Linked DNA regions of Canis lupus familiaris. The protein of the gene in region 1 interacts with the protein of each later gene in a pairwise test. Links are inferred from orthologs where the notes say so. Each region holds a gene or a part of one and is shown in the gene's direction. Other genes may lie near its edges.

Region 1 (4,162 bases):
CTCCCTGCATGGAGCCTGCTTCTCCCTCTGCCTGTGTCTCTGCCTCTCTCTGTGTCTCTCATGAATAAAATAAAATAAAATCTTTTAAATAAATAAATAAATAAACAAAAGACTCCTCTGATTGAGGCCCTTGACCCTCTCAGTTTGTAGAGTGCGTGACTCTGGATCTTGGGGTGGTGAGTTTGAGTCCCCGTTGGGCATAGAGCTTACTTTATTAAAAAAAAAAAAAGACTGACCGCAATGGAAAGAGCATACTGTGTGGGGTGAGGGCAGGGCAGGGAGATCTGGGGATAGACAACAGCTCAGGTCCAGGGAGTGATGATGGGGCCAGGACTGAGGTGGTGGGGATGGGGGGTGAGTAGTGATCAGAAATGTAGGATGGAGGAGGAACACAGCAAGACAACTGAAGGAAAGAAGGGCAGGAAAAGCAGGAGGCTAAAAGCTGAAGAGAGAGGAGTCCATGACCTCTGGCCCTGAGATGGTCAGTGGGGGGAACAGAGGTGGAGGGTAGTGTGGGGGACATGGAGTCACAGGAGGAGGAGTGGATGCTGGAAAAGAGGCCAAATTAGTGTCTGGGATGCCTGTTGGAAAACACAGGGGTGAGGTCCACGAGGCAATTATAATAATTACAATTATAGTTAAAGTGATTACATTATTCATCACCCATCAAATAGTTGCTGAGCGCTGGGGTCACAGCACCAGCAGTGACAGACAGTGTCCTTCTTGCCTTCATGGGTCTCGTGTTCTGTTGGCAGGGCACTAAAGACATGAATGGGTCAAGAAAGAAGCACATTTTTTTTTTTTTTTTTAAATACGCTCTGGGCCCAAGTGGGGCCAGAACTCATGGCCCGGAGGTCAAGGGTCGCTTGCTCCACCAAGTGAGCCAGGCAGGTGCCCCCACAAACATACAGTCGGTCAGGTAGTGATAAATCCTCCGGGGCGGGAGATGGGATAAAACAGGGCAAGGGGATAGAGAAGGGGGGCATCGTGCTGCAGAGGCCTAACGTGCAGAAAGGGCTTTATAAATATTTGTTAAATACTTAATGACAGGGAATCCCTGGGTGGCTCAGTGGTTTGGTGCCTGCCTTCAGCCCAGGGTGTGATCCTGGAGTCCCGGAATCGAGTCCCGCGTCGGGCTCCCTGCATGGAGCCTGCTTCTCCGTCTCCCTGTGTCTCTGCCTCTCTCTCTGTGTCTCTCGTGAATAAATAAAATCTTAAAAAAAAAAAAAAAAAAAAAAGACTTAATGACAGAGAGCAGAAAGTTGATTTGGTTTGTCTTTAGGGAGATAATCCAGTTTGCCTCCAAAAATTTCATCAAGTTTAGTTTCTCCTATCCTGCAGCGGGGGAAATTGAGGTAGAGGGGTATCTTAATGACTCAAATATAGTGATGAAAACCCAACCCCCCCAAAGGCCTGTAAACGGTCTTTTAATGTGGGTGAGGGGAGGAGGCGGCGAAGGGGGAAAGCAGAGCAGCGCCCATTAACCTATGACGTCATCGGGACGTTAAATAGCGTAACATCACCTGGACGTAGCCCCATTTCCCTTCCCGGACAGGTCCTCTGGTACTCCCGGACCGCCTGAATCAAGCCTCTCATTGGTTCCCCGTGCCATCAATCTGTTTCATTCTTGCAGTCTTCCGCCCCGCCTTCTAGAGTCCACCTCTGATAGGCTGACGCGGCCGTCACTTCAGAAAGGTCCGCATTCCTTCCGCCTTTCTCCAGGAGACCGAAGGCGAGGAGGGTGGGTCCCAGGCGGCGCCCACCCCTGAGGCTCTGCTTCCGCCTGTGATTGGCTGCCCTGGGTGCCCGTCGCTACGCCACCCGCCTCTGATTGGTGATTCAGCCGCCGCTCTGTGCGGCGCCGGCTCCGCCCCCGTCGGGTGTTTGTGGTGGGGCTGCGGAGTCGCCGATCCCGCCGGAAGCGCCAGGACAATGGGGACCCGGGACGACGAGTACGACTACCTATTCAAAGGTGCGGTCGGTGGGACACAGACGGGCGAGGGGATGGCGGCGAGGCAGCGGGCGGGCGGGCTGAGGCTGCGCTCCAGGCCGCTGGGCCCAGGCCGGAGCCCGAGTCTTGGGGCCCGGCGGTTAGGCAGCCGGGAAGGCCGGGGCAGTTTGGGCTCGGCCAGCTTTGGGCTGGAGTGCGCGGCCGTGCGGAGCGGGCGGCCTAGGGAGGCCTGGGGGCCCTGGATGCGCCGAGGCGGGGCCGGGGCCCGGAGGGGGTGGGGCCCCAAGCGGTGGGAGAGGCCGTTAGGGGCGGAGCCTCTGGGGGGCGGGGCCTCCCCAGCATTTGGCGGGCCGGGCTGGGTAACAAGCGGCCTCCGTGCTGGGGGCGGGGCCTCAGGAGGCGTGGCTAAGGGGCGGAGGGCGTGTCCAAGAAGTGGGCTGGGACTGGGCGCGCGGGGGTGGGGCTCTCGCAGAGTGGGAGGAGCCTGTCCTGATTGGTGGCAGCTCGCCTGGGGGCGGGGCCCGGAGAGCGAGAGGACGCGAGGGGCTGAGATGTGTGATGGGGGGGACCCTGGATTGGGGGCTGACCCAGAACTGTGCGGAGGGGCGCCTGGCGTGGGGGGAGGAGTGTGTGTGCTGGGCTCAGGAGATAATAGCCACCTTCTTTTCTCTGTGGATCCGGAAACTGAGACCCAGAGAGACAGGGCACATTTGAAAAATGTTGGAGCAGGATTTGAACCCAGGTCAGCTGTGGGCTTTAGCCTGGCAGACCACCTCCCCCCGCACCTGCGTCCCCATGGGCCGGGCTTCGGCCAACCTGCTGCAGGATAGTCCCTGCCCAAGGGACAGAGGGCTCTAGGAACCTCCAGTGCGGCTGTGGCAGGTCAGGCAACTGCTGCTGGCCCAGCTCCCTCACCCTGCGGCTGGAGCTGGGGAGACTCCTCCCATCGCTGGGGTTGTGGCCTGACTTGAGTCACAGGCTTTGGGGGCGCCCGGCCGGTTCAGTCTGCAGAGCATGCAATTCTTGATCTCTGGGTTGCAAGTTCAAGCCCCAGTTTGCGTGTAGAGATTACTTCAAAATAAAATCTAAAAAAAAGAAAAAAGAAAAAAAAAGTCACTGACCTCACAGTGCCTCCTGTGCCAACCTGGGCTTTGGCCAGGTCCCGGGCGGTCTGTTCTGGGCTCCCTGACTGACAGTGGTTGCCCATGAGAGCTAACCCTAGGCCCGCTTGAGGCACCTTTGCCCTGCTGCCTGCAGTGTGAGGGTCTGCTCTCACACCAGCTGTTGGCACCGTCCCTTCACTGGGGAAACCTGACTGTCCCTGGGAGCGCAGTCCATGTCCATCAGTGACCATCGTGTCTGTAGTGTCCTCCCGCATGCTGGGGCTGGAAGCCTGGGGGCCTTGGGGATGTGGAGAGTGGGGTGGCGCGCTCCCTACCTGGGATGTCCATGTGGTGAAAGGCTTCTGGGCTGGCGGAGTGTCTACGCAGAGGCCCAGAGTTGTCACGCAGCATCATGGGCCTGGGGAGCTGCATGCAGGCTCATATGTCACTGGCAGGTGAAGCTGTGTGGTCAGCAGGTATCAGGCCAGGGCCCCGATGCCCACAGCACTCTGGGGTATCACATGAGAGCCAGGGGAAGCTCTGCCCGGGCTTTGGGGACTGGCCACAAGTGGCCAGGACTCCATCTTGCTGCAGCTGGGGCCAGAGGCGGCCGTTCCCCAGGTCCCGGTTGGGTACCCCCCTGAATGTGGACTGCCAGGGCCAGAGGCATTTCCCCCAGTAGTCACCTCCAGCTTTCTATGGCCATTTCCCCCTTGTTATTTTCAGCCGCCTCCTGTTATAAATAACCCAACACTAGTCATCTTTTTGCCCTTTGTGTTATTTCCTTGAAGTATGTTCCCAGAAGTACAGTTACTGGGTCAGGGGCAATGGAGCGGCTGTGTGCTTCCTGGGACTCATCTCCAGAGTCCACTTCCTGGAAGCACAGATCTGGCTTCAGTGGCAGCAACTGGCACAGTGGGGGGGGGGGGGGGTTAGGAGCTGCCTGCCCTGCTGCCCTCCCCCACTAGCCTCCTTTTCTCAGTCAGCAGGTGTCCTGCTGACCTTCTCAGGCAGGGTTAGGAGTGAAAGTCGAGCCCGCAAGGGCCGTGTTTCCCAGACTGCCGTCATCTGAGACCTCCTGTTTACACGTATGTCTTGTTGGCGGTCT
Region 2 (4,198 bases), on another chromosome or scaffold:
GGATAGTCTACACAGTGAGCGCCCAGGGGGTGTCCTAGCCCCCGAGGAAGCTGAGGCTCGGGGAGGGGCGAAGACTTGTCCAAGGTCACACAGGCTGATGATGGCAGACATGGGGGGGGGGGGGGCGGGCGGGGATCAGCTCTTCTGACTCTAGCCCCAGTGTCTCTCCCGATCTTTATTGATTCCTGTGTGGTTCTGGAACCTTCCATCTGCTTTCCCCCTCTTCTTCCATTGGAGGTGGAGGACGTCTTCCCAGTGAATTAGAGAAGAGTGGGTAAGGGGTTGGGGAAAAGGGTGCTTTCGGTCAATGAAGAGGGCCGATGCGCCGCGCCAGCCACCATCTATCTGACACCCACCCGCTCTGTGCCAGGCGCCAGGCATCCATCAGGGCGCAGGCAGCCAACACGCTTTCCAAAGACCGAACCCGGGTATCCCTCCCCAGATCGGGCGGGCCCGGGTTGCGGCTGTCACCCCTCAGGAGCGCTCCCCCCGCGCCCCCCGCGGCAGGCCGCCCCGCCCGGTCCTGGGAGCCCAGCGCCCCTGCAGGCCCCCGCGCCGGGCGCGACGCCGAGGAGGCGCACCCAGCCCCGGGCCCCGGAGCTCGCGCCGCGCGCCGCCGGTCGCCACGGCAACCAGGGAGGCGCTGACCCCTGACCCCGCCGGCCCCGCCCCTCGCGTTCCCGAGTTCAACATGGAGGCGGCCAACCCGGAAGTGCCGCCGCCGCCGCCGCCGCCGCCGCCGCCCGCCGGGGGTTGGGAGCCGCGGGCCCCGCGAGGCTGAGCCCGGCGTCCGCCGCCCTGACAGCCGCTGGGGCGCCGCGTCCCTGCCCTCCCGGTCCAGCTCCGCGGCCAGGCGACCCGCCCCGCCCCCGCCCGAGAGGAGGAGCCGAGGCGAGGGGGAGGAGGCGGAGGAGGCGGAGGAGGAGGGCGAGGTTTGCTAGAGGGAGCCAGGCCGCGCGAGCCGCCGGCGGTTCGTATTACCGGGGTCGGAAGGAGGAGCCGGGCCGGGCCCGCCGAGCAGCGCGGGCGGGCGGGAGGCGCGGAGGCGGCGGGGGTGCGGGCCGGGGCCGGGGGCGGGGGCGGCTCCGCGCGGGCCCCGGCGGCCAGGCCTCAGCCGCCCGCAGGCCCGGGAGCCGCCCGCCGCCGCCGCCGCCGCCGCCGCCGCCGCCGCCGCAGCCCGGGGCCGGTCCCCGCAGCGGGCGGCGCGGAGGCGCGGGCGGCTCGGCCGGGGGCGGCGGGGATGCTGGGCCCCCGGGCCCCTGCCGCGGAGAGGGCCCCCCCAGCGCAGCCGCGCCCCCGGGCCGCCCCAGCGAGGCGCCGCGCCGCGAGCCCCGGGCCCGGCGGGCAGCCGTGAGCTCGCCTGCCGCCGCCGGGTGCCCGGAGGATGCAGTGATTCAGGAATTAGGCTCTCCCCGCGGGAGGGGCTCGGGGCGCCGAGGGAAACCACCACCACCACAACCCCCCCAAAGACCCAGAATGATGCTGTCCGAGCAAGCCCAAAAGTGGTTTCCTACCCACGTGCAGGTCACAGTGCTCCAAGCCAAAGATCTTAAGCCAAAAGGCAAAAGTGGCACCAATGACACATACACCATAATTCAGCTGGGCAAGGAAAAGTACTCCACCTCTGTAGCTGAGAAAACCCTTGAGCCTGTCTGGAAGGAGGAGGCCTCCTTTGAGCTCCCTGGATTGCTAATGCAGGGGAATCCCGAGAAATACATCCTTTTCCTCATAGTTATGCACAGGTCCCTGGTGGGTCTGGATAAGTTTTTAGGGCAGGTGGCAATCAACCTCAATGACATCTTTGAGGACAAACAAAGAAGGAAAACAGAGTAAGTTATGTAATTTATTTTGAATTTGGGGGAGATTATCTTATTTACGGATTTTCTGTTCTTGGAAATTATTTGGGGCATTCTCTCTCTCTCTCTCTCTCTCTCTCTTTTTTTTTTTTTTTGGAGTGAAATATGACCTAGTTGTAAGCACCATGGTTGCACGAATCTGGAGTAAAACATAGCCCTTGTGAAGAAATATATATATATTTTTAAATGGAGGCAGTAATGATCCATTACTCTCGCATTTCTGGTTAAGGTAAACATGTTAAATAATTGAGTATTTTGCACCGGATTTTAAGCAAACTGACATGGTTTTCACCGCTTGTAAGAGGACTTGATCACAGTGCTGACCACCTAAAACTTGTGTGAGTTGCTGTGATCGTTAAACACTACAGTTTGCCAGGAAATGGAGAATTAAATCTGTCAATATAAGGTCTCATGTTGAATTTTGAAGTTGTCTAAAGGTCTATTACCAAATTTAGAGGTCAGGATTTCGTTTCAGCTTTAGAAACACAAGCTGGCCGGTGTTTTAGCTCAGCCATCTTTCAGGGTCAGTACATCTCGATGGAGTCTAGAGCTGTTGAAAGAAAAAAATTTTAAGTGTGTACAAACATTCGCAACCTTGAATGCACGCTGACATTTTTCTGTGAATTCACAACCTATTGGAGTTCGTGTATTACTTCGGAAATAGTTCTGTAAAGCCCGCGTGTTGCAGGTAGTGATGGAGTTCTTGTGATGAAGTGATTCAGGGGCGTCTTCACTGCAAACACGTCCTTTTACCTCTGACTTTCAAGCTCAGGAGAGATACGTTGTCATTTAAAAAAGGATGATATAAATTAACACTTGGATGTTATGTCTTAAGTCGGAAAATTACATGTTTTCGGAGATACAGATATACTCACCCTTCCTTAAACCTGATCTGAGAGAACCTTGAAATTAACGGAATTAATGAGAGAAAAATATAGGTTGAGTTTGTAAGAGGACTTCAAGTGTCCAAAGCAGCTTTGGTGTTTCCCACGTGACCGAAATTTATTTGCCCTTTTGAAAACTTTTGATAATGGTAACTTTCTTGAAGTTCATGTCCATTTCATATTACATTTTTACAACAAGTGTGCCTTACTATATTCTCTGTACATCTTCCTGCAAGCTTCTCTTGATTGGAGTTTTTATTTTTATTACCTTTTTTTTTTTTTTAAATCAGGACTTTATGTAAGATTTAGTACGTGAAAGGTAAAGGGATAGACAGATAAGTACTAGGAATGCAAGAGGAAAAATGGTAAATATTTACTCAGGAGATAACAGTATTTTAAGAAAAAGGAGAGAAAAGTTTTAAAAAAATGTAAAATTGAATGTATATTGATGATTTTTGATAAGTGTTTGCTACCTACAAAATGGTATTTGTTACCTACAAAATTTCCTCTGAGGAGTTTTTCATTAGTTTTTCATTAGCTGAAAGATAGATGATCACCAAGCAGTTTGTTCAAATCACCAATTTTGGATGAAACTTACCCTATGATATTTAAAGTGTTTTGAAAGTAGACTTTCTAGTATATTGTAACTGCAAATGTTATGCTGCCTTTTTTGGTACTTTTTATGTTAATGAGTGACCTATTACAGGCCTCCTATGAAATCTAAATTTTCCGAGCGAAAGTAGGCCCAACTGTGAATCCAGAGATTCAGAGGATGAAGTGAGCTTTTAAAATTCCTCCTTGCTTTACTCCTTATCTTTGGCAACATCCGAATTACAATAAATTTGGCCATAAGTAACTCTCCTATCCTGGTCTCCCTACAGAAATTCTCTATTGGCTACTAAATAAAATTGATTAGAACTTTCAGGAGGAAAATGCTTTTAAATGTTCTCAACAGGGCTTGTGATGTTATTGCATGCAGAGTGATTTTCAGATGTTATTAAATCCCATTTTCTTTGTGGATAAATGAGGACCACATATTTGATGAGATATCTTTATTGGTAATATTTCTAGTTTTTTAATATATTTAATAGCTTCCTTTTCCAGCACAGCTGTGCATGTGGTACAGTACAAGATGAACTTGGGCCACCGGTGTATTGCAAGAAAGATATTTAATATTCTGCACAGTGCTGAGCCTTGTCGGCATATCCCCAAGTGCTTTTTAGAAAACCAGTATGAGTGATGAAGGCTACCAGCTGATTTAGAAGTCCCATGAAACTGCTGGGTGTGACATTTTATACTCTTGACACTGAAGACAAGTATTTACAGCTTGTCTTCCAATTGTGTCATGATAGGCAAAGAAGTGTGATGGCTAAAACTATTATTTTACTTATTTTTATAATTTAAAATTAAATGCCATTCTTCTTTTTTTCTTTTAAGGAGAGGGAAAGGGCCCGAGTC
Region 3 (3,585 bases), on another chromosome or scaffold:
ACAGCCCAGGACAGGATACACTGCTGGCAGGCTGGACGGGGCTCAGGCGTCATGCCCTGGCACTAGAGGCCACAGAGAGGGGCTCTGGACACTCCTCGGCCATCCTGGCTTGCCGCTGGCTCCAACCATGTCTGGGCTGCAGCTGCCAGGTAAATAGCCTCCAAGCGGATTGCTAAGTGGCCCCTGCCCGGGCCCTGGCACATGGGGTCTGTGTGGGAGTACGCGGTTTGCCAAGCTCTCCAGGGGCCTGCCCTTGTGGCTGCGGCAGGAAGTGGTGTCCGCTCGGAGCCCCCTCTGGCTGGTGGGTGAGCTGGCCTCTCGGCGCCCAGGGCAATGTCCCCTGAGTGGAGACCTGAGTGGTGAGCCACCTGTGGGCTCGTTTCCTTCATATCATCAGGACCAGGCATGAGGAGCAAGTTTCTCTAGTCCAGGCAGCCAGGAATGTGCTTTGGTTAGTTTGGAGTATTTAATTAGTTTGTGAAACAGGGTCAGAAGGTGTCCCACTTGGGCCTGACTCCTCCCACCCCAGCCCTCCCCCAGCCCCCATGGGAGGTTATTCTTAGGTGAGCTTCAGGGAAATATGGAAAATCTCTGTACTTCAGTCTCCTCAGAGCCCCAAGCACCTGCTATCATCTAATTCTCACTGCTTGTTGCTGTTAGACCTGAAGCCGCAGATGCTGACGGGCTCAGTGCCCTGCCTCCCTGCTTACATCCTCTATATGTGCATCCGGCACGCCGACTACATCAACGACGACCTCAAGGTGCACTCCTTGCTGACCTCCACCATCAATGGCATTAAGAGAGTCCTGAAGGTAGGGGTCCCAGGCCCGGGGGTGGTGCTTGGCAGCCGGTGTAGGGAAGCCTGCAGCTTCCCCAGCCTTGCCCTGCCCAGGCCACCCTCAGCCCTGAAGGTGACGGACAGGAACGCAGAAGCAGCTTGCCGATGGAAGTGGGCAGTTTCCAGAGAAAGGATGCTCAATCTTAGAAAGGACCCCCAAATCCACTATTGCCATCCCACCGCCTGCAGGGGCCCTGCGACTTTAAAAAGCCATGACCAGAGGTGGAGGAGGATGGTCCGCCTGATTCAGGGGCAGGCTGACCCCACAAGCTGAATACAGGCCTTGTCCCAGACCTTCCCAAGGAATTGGGTGCCTGCTCCCCAGGCAGGTGGTGGCACAGGAAGGGTGCATATGCTTATCAGTCTCCAGAGTGAGGGGGCCCAGGCCAGGACAAGGCTGCTTCCAGGGCACAGAGGGATCCCAGGTGGTGGCAGCCGCTGCAGTAAGAGGCTGGTCAGGGTGCCGAGGCTCAACTGTGCAGGAGCTATGCTGAGCGGTGAGGCCTCAGTAAGAGCGATGGTCCTTCCCCACAGGCCCAAGCCCCAGGCAGCCCTGCCCTGGTTCTCACACACACACTGCCACTCTGGGATGCATGTCATCTTCAAAAGTGCGGAGTCCAGATGCTGAGACCCACTGAGCCTCTGTCACCTGCATCCCCTTTCCCTTCTGGGAGTGAGCGAGCTCCAGCTCATAGCTTTGAGCTTCATGCCAGCCTGGTGTTAGTAACTGTACCTCTGGCTCGGCTTGGCCCGGCTGGGCCTTGCCCTGCACCACAGAGGCAATCTTATCCACACTTGGCACTAAACAAACATGCTGGCGACACTCAGATCTGGGTCCCCTGCCTTGACCCCTAGCACGGGCTCTGCCCGGGAGCTTGTACCAGTCTGAGTGAGTTGAGGGCTGGCTTCAGGCCATTGCCTCAGGGGAAGCTTTCCTAACCACTGGGCTCCGCTAGCTGTGCCCAGCCCTAACAGTCGCTTCCTGTCCGACTCCCTTGTTTTATTGTCCTCAAAGCTCCCACCTCTGACATTAGGCAGGGATGGTTTTAGCTGACAAGGTGAGCTCGGTTCAGTCATTGACCCTAGGATAGGAAACTATCCTGGCTCTTGGGTTTTCATCCAGGTATGGTTTATAGTCCTTTTCCAGAGGGTTGAAACCATTGGGTATCTGATCGCTCAATAAATATTTCACTGGCATGCTCCGTCCATCCCTTAGGTTGGATCACGAATAGTTCGGAGCAGGGCCAGCGGCCTCGTGGTCAACACACAGCCCAGGCTGCACAGCTGCGTCCCGGTGACGAGGGGACCCAGGGAGGGGTCTCTGCGCCATGCTTGGTAGTGAAGGGATGGGACTGCCACCCCTTGACCAGGATCTCCTCTTGGGGACCGGCCATTGTCGTGTCTGCTGGGAGCATGCTCAGTAACTTTGGAAACCTGGAAAGAGAAGCCCCAGGTGAGCATTTTACCAGACAGCGGAGCCCTGCTGCTAATGGGGGTTGTCCTTTTCTTTCACAGAAGCACAATGAGGACTTTGAGATGACCTCATTCTGGTTATCCAACACCTGCCGCCTCCTTCATTGCTTGAAGCAGTATAGTGGGGATGAGGTGAGTGCTAAGACAAGCCCAGCCCCTAAAGGGCACCTGAGAACCACCAAAGTACCCCCAAAGCCTCACTTCCTGGGCCATAGCGATGTGCGTCCTGCTTCAGGGCACCTCAAATCTCAGCTCAGAAGGGGGCTGGGGGTATCGTGGGAGGCAGTCCTCTATCCAAATATGCCCCCACCCTGAGAGGATGTACGGTCTTTGGGGTGCCCTCTGGGACCTCGGGCTCTGAGCATACCTTCCTCTGTCTACCTGGTAGCTCAAAGCAGGAGCAGAGAGGGCACAGGATACCTGTCTGCTAGGTGGCCTCAAGGACCCTGCAGCCCCAGAAAGCACCCTGAATCAAATGAGGTGGGGAAATGAGCTTATATGACCCATCCATTATCCGAGAGCCACTGGGACTCTCCAGGGAGACCCTTGTGACCTGACCTCTCTGGAGCAGCCCCCTTTCAGCGAGCACTGGAAGGAAGCTCAGTGAGTTGTCAGATGTGTGACATGATCTCCTCAGCCAACCAAGTAGTTAATCCATCTGAAGGCGGACACGGAGAAGAGGCACAACACAATCAAACTACATCTGTGCACCTTGACCTTAAGGCCCAGCTTCCCGCTTCTAACCAAACTTGATTCCTTGACCTGCTGCCCTCCTGGGTACATTATGTCATCCTCTACTCTGGACTCCGAGGGCCCAGCTTCGTCTGGAGCCCACATTCCCCCACTCTGGCCCCTGAAGGAACGGTGCCCATGCTCTGCATTCAGCCCAGCAGCTTGGTAACACAGGGCATGTCTTCACTCTGGTCTTTCTATTAAGAATCCCAGTTCATCCCAGACACCACTGCCAGGCCCCTGGGGGTTGCCTCAACCTCCCTTTCCCCCCTTACACTTTCACTTATATTAAGAATAATGTATCAAGAGACCTGAGACCCAGAGCACACTATAGCCAGATCCATGTAGTCTAAACAAAGAGGGAAAATATATATATATCTTGTCTGTCACAGTGATTTTTTTTCTTTTACCTGCCTTTTGGTTTTTATTTAAAAAACTGCTGTGTAATATGAGTTGGCAGGAGAGGCTTTGCTGGGGATGGTCACCCTTTTGAAGACGCTGAGCTTCTTGGCTGCTTTTGGTTTACCTTGGCCTGACTACAA

What was found.
Region 2: the proteins of RAB11B (region 1) and RAB11FIP2 interact in binary tests that used the Homo sapiens proteins (3 or more experiments, as listed by UniProt). The link is inferred for Canis lupus familiaris from reciprocal best matches to the Homo sapiens genes RAB11B and RAB11FIP2.
Region 3: the proteins of RAB11B (region 1) and MYO5B interact in binary tests that used the Homo sapiens proteins (3 or more experiments, as listed by UniProt). The link is inferred for Canis lupus familiaris from reciprocal best matches to the Homo sapiens genes RAB11B and MYO5B.

The regions. Positions count from the first base shown.
Region 1 is NC_049241.1:53,362,278-53,366,439, forward strand, and holds the start of RAB11B (ras-related protein Rab-11B), read left to right. Parts: upstream 1-1,313; 5' UTR 1,314-1,932; coding exon 1,933-1,972; intron 1,973-2,656; exon of another isoform or gene 2,657-3,036; intron 3,037-3,389; exon of another isoform or gene 3,390-3,863; intron 3,864-4,162. UniProt on the Homo sapiens protein: The small GTPases Rab are key regulators of intracellular membrane trafficking, from the formation of transport vesicles to their fusion with membranes.
Region 2 is NC_049249.1:28,754,889-28,759,086, reverse strand, and holds the start of RAB11FIP2 (rab11 family-interacting protein 2), read left to right. Parts: upstream 1-1,324; 5' UTR 1,325-1,476; coding exon 1,477-1,829; intron 1,830-4,198. UniProt on the Homo sapiens protein: A Rab11 effector binding preferentially phosphatidylinositol 3,4,5-trisphosphate (PtdInsP3) and phosphatidic acid (PA) and acting in the regulation of the transport of vesicles from the endosomal recycling compartment (ERC) to the plasma membrane.
Region 3 is NC_049228.1:79,081,731-79,085,315, forward strand, and holds part of MYO5B (unconventional myosin-Vb), read left to right. Parts: intron 1-660; coding exon 661-812; intron 813-2,353; coding exon 2,354-2,443; intron 2,444-3,585. UniProt on the Homo sapiens protein: May be involved in vesicular trafficking via its association with the CART complex. The CART complex is necessary for efficient transferrin receptor recycling but not for EGFR degradation.